Linked DNA regions of Drosophila melanogaster. The protein of the gene in region 1 purifies or fractionates together with the protein of each later gene. This does not show direct contact. Each region holds a gene or a part of one and is shown on either strand. Other genes may lie near its edges. The genes, in order: mei-P26 and gw.

The links.
Region 2: the proteins of mei-P26 (region 1) and gw purify together in Drosophila melanogaster (affinity purification with western blotting, with the first as the bait; one study listed by BioGRID). This does not show direct contact.

Annotation. Positions count from the first base shown.
Region 1 is NC_004354.4:9,161,532-9,166,570, forward strand, and holds the start of mei-P26 (meiotic P26), read left to right. Parts: upstream 1-1,723; 5' UTR 1,724-1,867; intron 1,868-2,631; exon of another isoform or gene 2,632-2,803; intron 2,804-4,150; 5' UTR 4,151-4,928; intron 4,929-4,988; exon of another isoform or gene 4,989-5,003; 5' UTR 5,004-5,007; coding exon 5,008-5,039. Other genes in the region: Zpr1, read right to left, coding at 1-443; CG44532 (uncharacterized protein), read left to right, coding at 944-1,495.
Region 2 is NC_004353.4:657,415-662,418, reverse strand, and holds the start of gw (gawky), read left to right. Parts: upstream 1-1,810; 5' UTR 1,811-1,990; intron 1,991-2,435; exon of another isoform or gene 2,436-2,859; intron 2,860-3,910; 5' UTR 3,911-4,081; coding exon 4,082-4,517; intron 4,518-4,734; coding exon 4,735-5,004. Other genes in the region: CG46466 (uncharacterized protein), read left to right, coding at 446-1,264. UniProt on the Drosophila melanogaster protein: Required for gene silencing mediated by micro-RNAs (miRNAs). Silences both polyadenylated and deadenylated mRNAs. Required for miRNA-mediated translational repression and mRNA decay. Not required for miRNA target recognition.

The DNA.
Region 1 (5,039 bases):
CCGGCTATCGTCCGCTCGATGATGCCTTCGACGGTGGTCACCTCGCCCTTCTGCGACTGCACCGGAATCTCTAGCTCGATCTCCGGTATGCTGATGCTGGAGTTATCCGAGCGCACCACGCGCCGATTGAGATCAGCCACGGATTGCACTCGCAGTTCGATGCGAATGCCGGACTTTTGGATCTCCGATGCCGACTGCATCTCGTTGTTGATGTGGCCGCAGTGGTCGCACTTGAAGGACATGAGCACCACCTCGCGAAAAAAGGGTATCTTGGTGGGCAGCAGCCGAGTGACTCCCGTTTCGAAGCAGTTCATGCAGGCGGATTCGACCTCCACTATCTCGTCGGTCTGCTCCGCATTGATTTCCCGGAAAATGGGCTCCGGCCGAATGTTCCCCGCACTCTCCGGCGGATTGCTACTGTTGGGGTCGCTCACGGTGGACATGATTTGATTGCTATCCACACGAAAGTTCCTGTTTAAGTGTGCTTTTTTAAATGAAATGTATATGTTTGGGGCGAAACGTGCAAGTTTAATCGATAGACGCTGACGATAAGTGTCGATAGTCGTCGTGTGACCGGCTTGCATATGCTTAAAACTCCTTAAATACCCAGAAGTGTGCTCGGCGCGTTGATCTTAAACGCTCGAGAATTTACTCGTGTTCGATAGAAAATTCCCCGAAATAAAAAGGTGCACAAATAAATTTAAGAGCTTACCTGTAGCGGTACACGGTAAGGCCATAAAACAAAAACTGATTGGCCATCTGCATATTAATCTGGGAATACCACCTACCTGACACACGTTCTTCCTAAAATTACCTGCGCTTTCAGAAATAACTGGAGTCCTTTTGTAGAGCGACAATTCAAGGCAGTACAAAAAGAGCCAAGCTTAGAGTATCATTGAATTGTTGATATTCCTGTTACCATTTTAAGAGACTTTCAATTAAGATGGCCGGATCGTCGAGCATTAGTGCGCTGTTGGCCGAGCAAATGAATTTGGGCGAGAAGATTCAAAGCATTATTCGCAATTATAAAAAGGCTCCGGCTCAACGGAAATCTAAACCTGGATATTTTGAAGGGCGACTATCCAAATTGCAAAGCTTGTGGGATGCATTTTCCAAAGGGGAAAATACTATTAAAACTCGCAACGAAAAGACGCAAATGGAACATACATACTTTAAAAACAACTTCTTTGTCAAAATAAAGACTTTGGTAGTTGAATATACATCAGAATTCAATCGAAAACTGCACGCATCGGAAAATGATACTGAAAACGTGCACGCATCGGAATTGGATACTAAACACGTGCCCGCATCGCAGCAGAATTCTGAAGATCAATTCAATTCTATGCTTAGAGAGCATCGGATATTGATGGACAGATTGGATAATATTATAAACGAGTTGGAATGCGTGACAAGGAATGGGATTAATCCCATCATTTTACCCTATTTAACTGATATGCAAAATATGCATGCGGAAATGAGTCAAACTGACATTTAAATGTAATGTAACATGTAATAATAAAGCGTATTTTGTGTTATTATTTAAATATATATATATATAATTATATTATACTTATTAAAGATGTAAGCTTTGCGGAATGAAAACTTAAAATAAATATTTGGCGACCGATACGCGTTTATTCAATATAACTATCGATATCAGGGCATCGCTTTTCAAAAACTATCGATACGTGGCTGTGCTGAAATATATATCTATCATCCCTAGCTGCACTGCATACAAAAGTTCGACGGGAGCAGTAAAGTAATTATTTGTTTAATCCAATAATTATCGACTCCAATCAAATTGGCGGTCTTCTGGTTGTTTTTAATGTCCCAGAACGTGCTAAATTCGCTGAATCAGTGAATAACGGTAACTGTAGATATAACTGCCTGTGGTGTGTAGTGTTCTCTTGTGTTCCTGCGTGTAGGCGTTTGTGTGGGACGGGCAAATATAAAATCGTAACGTAACAAGCAAAAGAGAGCAGCAAAAAACAAAAAGAACCAACAAAAAAACGTGTGAAAACGAAAACTACATTTAAATATAAGGTGGTGACAGTTGCGAAAAAGCAGTTAGCAGTTTAAATTGGACAGTAAAAGCTGACAACGCCGGACAGACAGTGAAGTGTTCAGGCATTTCAAGGACCTTTTTCGCCTCCTGTCTGCTGTTCGGTTTGTGAGAGTGTGTGTGTATGCATGTGCAGGCGTGTGTGTTGAGTGCCTTTTGACCACGACCACCTGGGCGGTAGTCAAGTGGAAATTTTGCGTTCAAGGACAACGGCAGTGCCCCCCCTTGTCGATTGTCACCCCGCGACCCCGTCGAGAGTTGTCTTAGCCACCACCCGCGCCCCCCAACTAAAACTTTTAAATCGACGACAGTTCGTCCGGTCGGTCAAGAATAGTGTTTATTCCGAAATCGAAAAAGGGAATTCAGTTTTAATTTCACATGGTGTGTGTGTGTGTTTTTTTTTGTATTCTGTATGTGTGGGTGCCGTTTTTCGTATTCGTATTTCATTTTTTGCCGCGTTGAGTGAGCTTGCGCACACCAATACGAACGAAATTGAGAACTTTTCTTCGCATAACCGATTTTTCGCTCTCTCTCTCTCTCAATCGCTTATCGCTCCTCTTCTATCTCTTTCGCAGCCCAGCCAGCGCTGCACTCGAAAATAACCGTTTGCGAGTAGCAAGAGAGAGAGCGGCACACATTTAAAAGTGAAATAAATCAAAAAGTACGTGGAAATGGACAAGAAAATATCAGCTGCGGCGCAGAATTGACAAAGTCGATAGGGGGACCAACAAAATCATCCAGGTCCGATAAAGCAAAGCAAAATAAAACAGAACAGTGAAAAAAAGGGGCAAAGCAGCGGTACTAAATTCCGTTTACCACGTGTGTTCGCTTGTAGGCGCTTGTGTCTGTGTGTATGCAGCTGATTCGGCATGTGGGTGTTTGGTTGCGAGTGTTTGGAGGGGGCACAAAACTAAAGTAGATTTTAAACTACCGCTCACTTCCGCTGATTTAAACGTATTTATTTAGGCAATTGCCTTGCCCCAATTGAATTAGTTGTTCAAGGACTTTGTGCCCCAGCTTGTCCTTGTTAGGGCAGCTATTTTTTTGCGCAGCTAGCGGATAAATGGCTAGAAAGGTCATCACTATGAACGCGCCTGCGTGAACGGGTAGCAAAAGCAGGAAGCAGGAGTAAAGAAGAGCTTGATGTGTGTGTGTGTGTGTGTGTGTGTGGCGCATAGCTACACATAACGGAGAAAAACGTAACGTAAACTTAACGCAAAAGGGAACCGATACTACCACCCCCTTCCCCACTCTCTCCATTAGTGGCCTAACATAGACATTAATTGGATAACCTACGATCGGATAAACATTCAATGCACGAAATCTATGTTGCTAGTTCTTATCCTTTCCCATTAAACTCTCAAAACGGCATTATTCCATTCCATCCTGGTAGCTCTTGCCGGCTATATTAATTCAAATTCGATTTCATGGGAAAGCGTTATACAAATGCCAAGCGTTTTGAATTGGACTACGCCTAAGGTCCCGTCGCAGTCGAATTGGAAGAAGGCAACAATTCTTGTCAGATGATGACATAAAATTATAGATATAGATATAGATAGATATAGATATTTCACTAAATAACACAATTTTGGTAATCAATAAAAAGTTTTCAAACCTAATCATATTTTTATTATTTTTTTTACTTAACTGACTTAGGACTTCAAAATGAATAAGAAAATTATTACCTATTGTATATCAATAAGAATCGCATTTCCAATTCTTGCTGAGTTACGTTAATTTTGAAATTAGATTTATCTGAAAAATGGCCAATATACTTTGCTAACATCCGGAAAGTATGCAGCAGAGTGTGTGAGTGTGTGTGTGCTGTTGCAAAAGCCAGAGGCGTTTTAAAGGGGGTTGCACTGCGTATGGAAAGGGTAAAAAAGAAATGTTTCATTTGATTTAATGCCAAATTCCCTTTCTCCATATGTCAGTAAGGTTCATCTATATTTGATATATTTTGTTCTGCGTTACAGAATTTATATTTCTGTTTTAGTTTTATATTTATTAATTTGTACATTTTTGTAAATTTCTAGCCACCGATTAACGTGATTTTTGTATCCATTGTTCTTTTTTAAATACCAAAAGGAGCGGCGCTGTCGTCCAATTTGCATCGCCGTGTTCTTCGTCAGTGTTTGTTGTCGTCTCCTCGTTCGTCCTTAATTTTATTTCGTCCTTGTGCAACAAGAAGAAGCAAAAGAACAGCCACATCAAACAGGAGGAGGATCACTGCAATACACAGTTTCCAAATGCTTTAAAAATATTCGGCAATATCTAAATATCTAGAAAAGTAAGACAAGCAGCGAATCAGCAACAACAATCGAAAACACCAAACAAAAACCAAAAAACTAAGATAAGCCGAAAGCCGAAGGAGGCTCGCAAATTTGTTTACAAATTTGCAATACATTTTAAGTAAGCGGAGGAGAAGAAGGGGTGTTTGTTGCGCATCAGTGTGTGTGTGTGTGCGTGCGCGTGGATTGTATAGGTCCTTCGCTCATTTTTACCCCGACGAAACGAACTATTGTTGGCCTTTTCTTGCGGCAATAGAAGGGACCTCAATTGGAATGGCCCTCGTGGGAGAGCGGAGGGACATTAGGGAGCAGCAGAAGTAGCAGCAGCAGCAGCAGCAGCAGCAGGATTAGGATCAGGAATAGGATCAGGAATAGGATCAGCAGCAAATGCAAGCAAGCGCAAAGGACTAGAAAAGCAAGCAGCGACCAGAATTTAGGAGCCAGGAAATACGGAATTGCAATCAGGAAACAGGAACGGGAACGGGAAAAGCAGCCCAAAAACAATAAAACAAAAGGAATCCATTGAATCGACAAAAGACAAGAACTTGTTGTATCAGAGCAGCGCCAAAAGAAAGGTGAGTAGTAGTTATTCAAGAATAATATTCGGCTTTACTGGTATTCCTGATCAATCAAAGTTAACTTGTTTGTAGGACAATGACTACTTTGGAGGAGCCTGTCCAGGCGGC
Region 2 (5,004 bases), on another chromosome or scaffold:
CTATGTAGTATATACATACATATGTATGTGTCTAGATTAGAAAGAAACACCCATCCGAGTTGATACTTCCGTCTGCCCCTATGAATGTTGTAATGTCGGGAAGCACTCCTCTGGCTACCAAAAATTAGTAATGTAAATAAAGGAGAGGTGGGCTAATTTGATTCTAAGGTTATATATTTCTTTTTTATTGCATTTGTTTTCGGTTTGGACATCATATAGTGTCCAAATCCCGAAGTTCATTAACTAGTCTCGGAAACCTTTTTGTTCACCTGTTATGTTCTTTTTTAATTTTTAATAACCCCCTTACTTTACGAGTGAAGAGTATAAAAGAATTATAAATACTTTTTCAAGAATTCAGGTTAATATAATTATTCGATTTTATGATAGAATCTAACGTTCCGCTAACCATTTAATACAGCAAACCATATTTATTTTCAGATCAAAAATGACAACACACGATGAGGCTCAGTCATACTTCTCACGTCTTAATTCAATTTCCGAAAAAATTACCTGCGATCTCAATAAAGTTAAATCTACATACAACCAAGACGCTTGGCTTAAATTGACTTTAAACGAACAGGAAAAAATATTGAATAACCAATTAATAGATCCTGTTATATTTTCTAAGTACTGTCATAAGACTAAAGAAAACTATGCGGCACAGGATCCGTACGAAAATACTGAAGTTAGTAAAAATGATTACCGTAAATTTTGTTTCAGAGACATTGTATATTTATATAACGGCCAAGATTTACACACATATAATTATCAAAACGTTGGTTTAAAAATATTACGCGATGAAAACACCGGAGATTTTCAAGATGAACATTCGTTTCCATTTTCTTATCGAACCAAATCACAAATTAACATAGTATTAAAAGAATTTGATGATATCTGTCTTGTTGAAACTCCATTAGGCGTAAAAAAGGCCATTCATTTAAAATTGAAGACAAAAGATTCAACCAATAAAAAAATACCAATTCTCCACCTTAATTCTAATGATAAAACCGGCGTTAACACAACGGAAAGAAAGATTTCCATTCATGAAAACTTCTCAAAAACCCAAACTGTTTATATTGATGAATGTATTGAATCTAATGAGAAAATGCAACTGCTCGTTAAATGTGGATCGAAAAACAGTGTGTTAAACGACTTGTCTGATTATGAAAACGAATTTAAAGATGCACGTCAAGACGAAAATACAAAACTGTTATCCCCTGAACTAAAAATGCCTAAGGGTTTCGATTTTCTTAGCAATTGGTAAAACCTATTTAAATCTCATAGATAGTCGAAGGAGAGCCGATATTTTAGAACATAATTTCATTTGATTTCAAGGCAAAACACCAAAACATACACATTAATATTAATCGGTCGTAAGTCCAAACTTTATACATTACATTATTAAGGATTCTTTTTTAACATAGACTTAATAAAATAAGTTATGAATTTAATGGATTGCCCAAACCTGTTTCAATTCTCACTTCAATAAGGCATTCAAGCTTTAAAATTTATTAATGCATATGTTATCTCACTGTATTGTTTTAATCCCTTAAATTTCATTTGAATTGTTAGAAATGGTCGAGAGTTATATGAGTTGGAACTTGTTTGAAACAGCTCTGTTTTGAATTAATTTAAATTATATCAGCTAATTTATTTTAATCAATTAATCCTTCTGTTGTGTACCCTCTATCTGACCTCTTCGATGTGAACGGGTCACAGCACTTATTTTAGGCAGTTGTGTAAACTGGGTATTACCTAAGATTGATTAATATCGATTAGTTTAAGAAAATATCGGACATCTACCTAGAAGAGTCTGTCGTGATCCAGGCGAAGTGCGAGTGAGAGCATCGTATAGTTACTTTTTATTTAAATTGCGTGTGTTAAAATGAATTAGCACGAGTAGTGAATGTTTTTGTGTGCGTAATCTTTCGAAAACAAGCGCTTTGTCATTAAAACGAAAAGATTGCCAACAGCCCACCACGGATAGAATGTACGGAGTAATGCAGCTAAATTGAAGTAGAATAATTTTAATGTATGGTTGAAGACGTACTCAGTACGATTAAAAGCGAAACTTTCTGACATAACCTAAGTGTGCATAACCTAAATGGTCGCAAAAACCCAAGCGTTTAGTTTCGGACATACGCATGTGTGTATCAGTGCAGAATAAATTCTGTTCGCTTGTGTATCGTGCATTGGAAAAGTCTATATGTACATATGTTCCAGTCAAGAGTTGCCACGCTTTAAATCTTTTACATAATGACAAAGCAATAGGGAATTTAAATGTGTCGCATTTGCTTTGAGGTTTTCCACACCAACAGTTAAAATTTAGTAATAGTGTAATTAAAAATAAAGTAAGCATTTTGCATATTTGCATTAGTCTATACTCCACATACCTTTCCATTCCGTCTTTAAATTTTGACTAGGTGGCAATATTGCAAGCAGGAATATCTGTATGGGTTTATTTAATACACTAGTAACTGCCGTCCCCATCGTCGAACGTGCGCAGAAATTTATATTCAATTACATCGAATTATAATTATTGTTGAGTCTAATCAGTTTTCGCATTCAAGATTGTTATTAATCCCAGTTTATTTTGTGAAATATGAAAAACTATAATTGATTGTCGAATGTGTGTATGTTTTACAACACATACACACTTTGTGAACTCGTCAAAGTGGCTTGACATGCATACACACAAAAATGCACATATATTTACATATATAGAGAAAATCAACTTCTCGTTCAGTAAAGGCAAAAATTGTTGCAAATATTCGGTGAACTATTAGCGTATACACAAGTGTTCAATTTTACTATAAACGCATATTCTGGCAATAGATATTAATTTCTAATTTCTGTTTGGTAGGTTTTAGTTAGATCTCCATTTTGTGACGTTCTCAGCTTTTCGCTTGTATTTCTACACATAGGGTACAAGACACGCGAATATACTAAGTATTGTACAATGACTTCTCTACATATGCACTAGAGTACTGAAAATGTATTCATACAAATGTATATACATGTATATATCTATCGCATTAGTCTTTTTGCCAATACTTGCATATATACAGGTTGTGTAAATACATTTTAAATTCTAAGTTTATTTGAGCATAATTGCAAGTGCGAAATTAGGAAAGGGAGACATAAAATAGGGTGCTTCCGTCAATGTCTGCCTGCCCAGAGTTGACAAATTCATTTTACTTGTGTACATATGCATATGTATATTTATATACCATTACAGAGTTGTGAATTTAATTGTTTTATTTTTTGACATGCATTCGTTTTTCACACAGGAATTTGTCGTTAATGTGGGTGGGGATTCTGCCGGTTGGGCAGCAGACCTGGTAGGTCAGCGATCGCGATGCATATTTCATTTTTAAAATTCTTTATGTACATACTAAGTATACATGTTTAACTCCTGTCAAATGACTCCCACTCTTATATACCCATATGTATGTCCTCAGACTTTTTGAATCGATTATAAAGCTTAAATTTTTATGATTTCTCCTTCAGAATTTTAACTGATGTTATGCAGTTAAAAATCTGTAAAGAAGATATTGATTAAGCCTACGAAAAGCTGATCAGAATTAAAAAATTTTTTAAGAACAACGAACAATAGAAAAACTAAAAACAAACGTGCACAACGTAGGGGTCACTAGAATCTGCATGCTTATTCTCAACTGTCTAGCTTTTATGTCGAAAACGCTTCCGCTATGTAACATACTTTAGAACAAATCTGGTATACCATATACCATTTTACTCTATTAATAATGTGTATAAAGCATAAACGTATCACGGTGATTAAGTTTATTTATCCTGTGTATATACAAGAAAATAAAAAAAGAACTTAGCAATTTGATTTAGAATGAATATTTTGTAATAAAAATAATAAATGTTTTCTATATTTCTACAGAACACGGAAAGAACAAGGATTCAGATTAAGTCATTCCTTTTCGATTAAATTAAATAACTTTTAAAAATTGCCATAAATGCTTATGATAATGAAGTTAAAGATCAAGTGGATGTTGGAATAGTAAGGAATGCTACTTTTGAAGCTGACAATCAGTTAGAACACTTGAGCACTATGCGTGAAGCCCTTTTTTCCCAAGATGGCTGGGGCTGTCAGCATGTTAACCAGGATACTAATTGGGAAGTTCCCAGTTCGCCAGAACCAGCCAATAAGGATGCACCCGGTCCACCAATGTGGAAGCCAAGCATTAACAATGGTACTGATCTTTGGGAGTCCAATTTGAGAAACGGAGGTCAGCCGGCCGCACAGCAAGTTCCAAAGCCGTCGTGGGGTCATACACCATCCTCTAACTTAGGTGGAACATGGGGTGAGGACGACGATGGCGCCGATAGTAGTAGTGTGTGGACTGGAGGAGCTGTTAGCAACGCGGGATCCGGAGCTGCAGTGGGAGTAAACCAAGCCGGAGTTAATGTCGGTCCAGGCGGTGTTGTTTCGTCTGGCGGACCTCAGTGGGGACAAGGTGTCGTTGGCGTCGGACTTGGATCAACTGGTAGGCCTAATATCTATTAGAATTAATGAAGTTAAGCGCAAACGATCAGATAAAGGCTCTAGCTTTTCCCTCAAAATGTGACTAACAATACATGATAAAAACATAAAGTGTAGTAATTGAAGTTGGAGCCTTATCTGGGGAATTACCTATTCTAAGTTCTACAGAAACTTTTATTTCATTAACCCGAAATACTTTTATATTTCTGCTGTTATTTAAGGAGGTAACGGGTCAAGCAATATAACTGGATCGTCTGGAGTCGCAACAGGTAGTAGCGGAAACTCCAGCAACGCTGGTAACGGTTGGGGAGACCCTCGTGAAATACGCCCTTTGGGAGTTGGTGGCTCCATGGATATTCGAAATGTTGAACATCGCGGCGGTAACGGTTCTGGAGCAACTTCGAGCGATCCACGAGACATTCGCATGATCGATCCGCGTGACCCTATTCGAGGAGATCCCCGTGGAATATCTGGTCGTCTTAATGGGACCT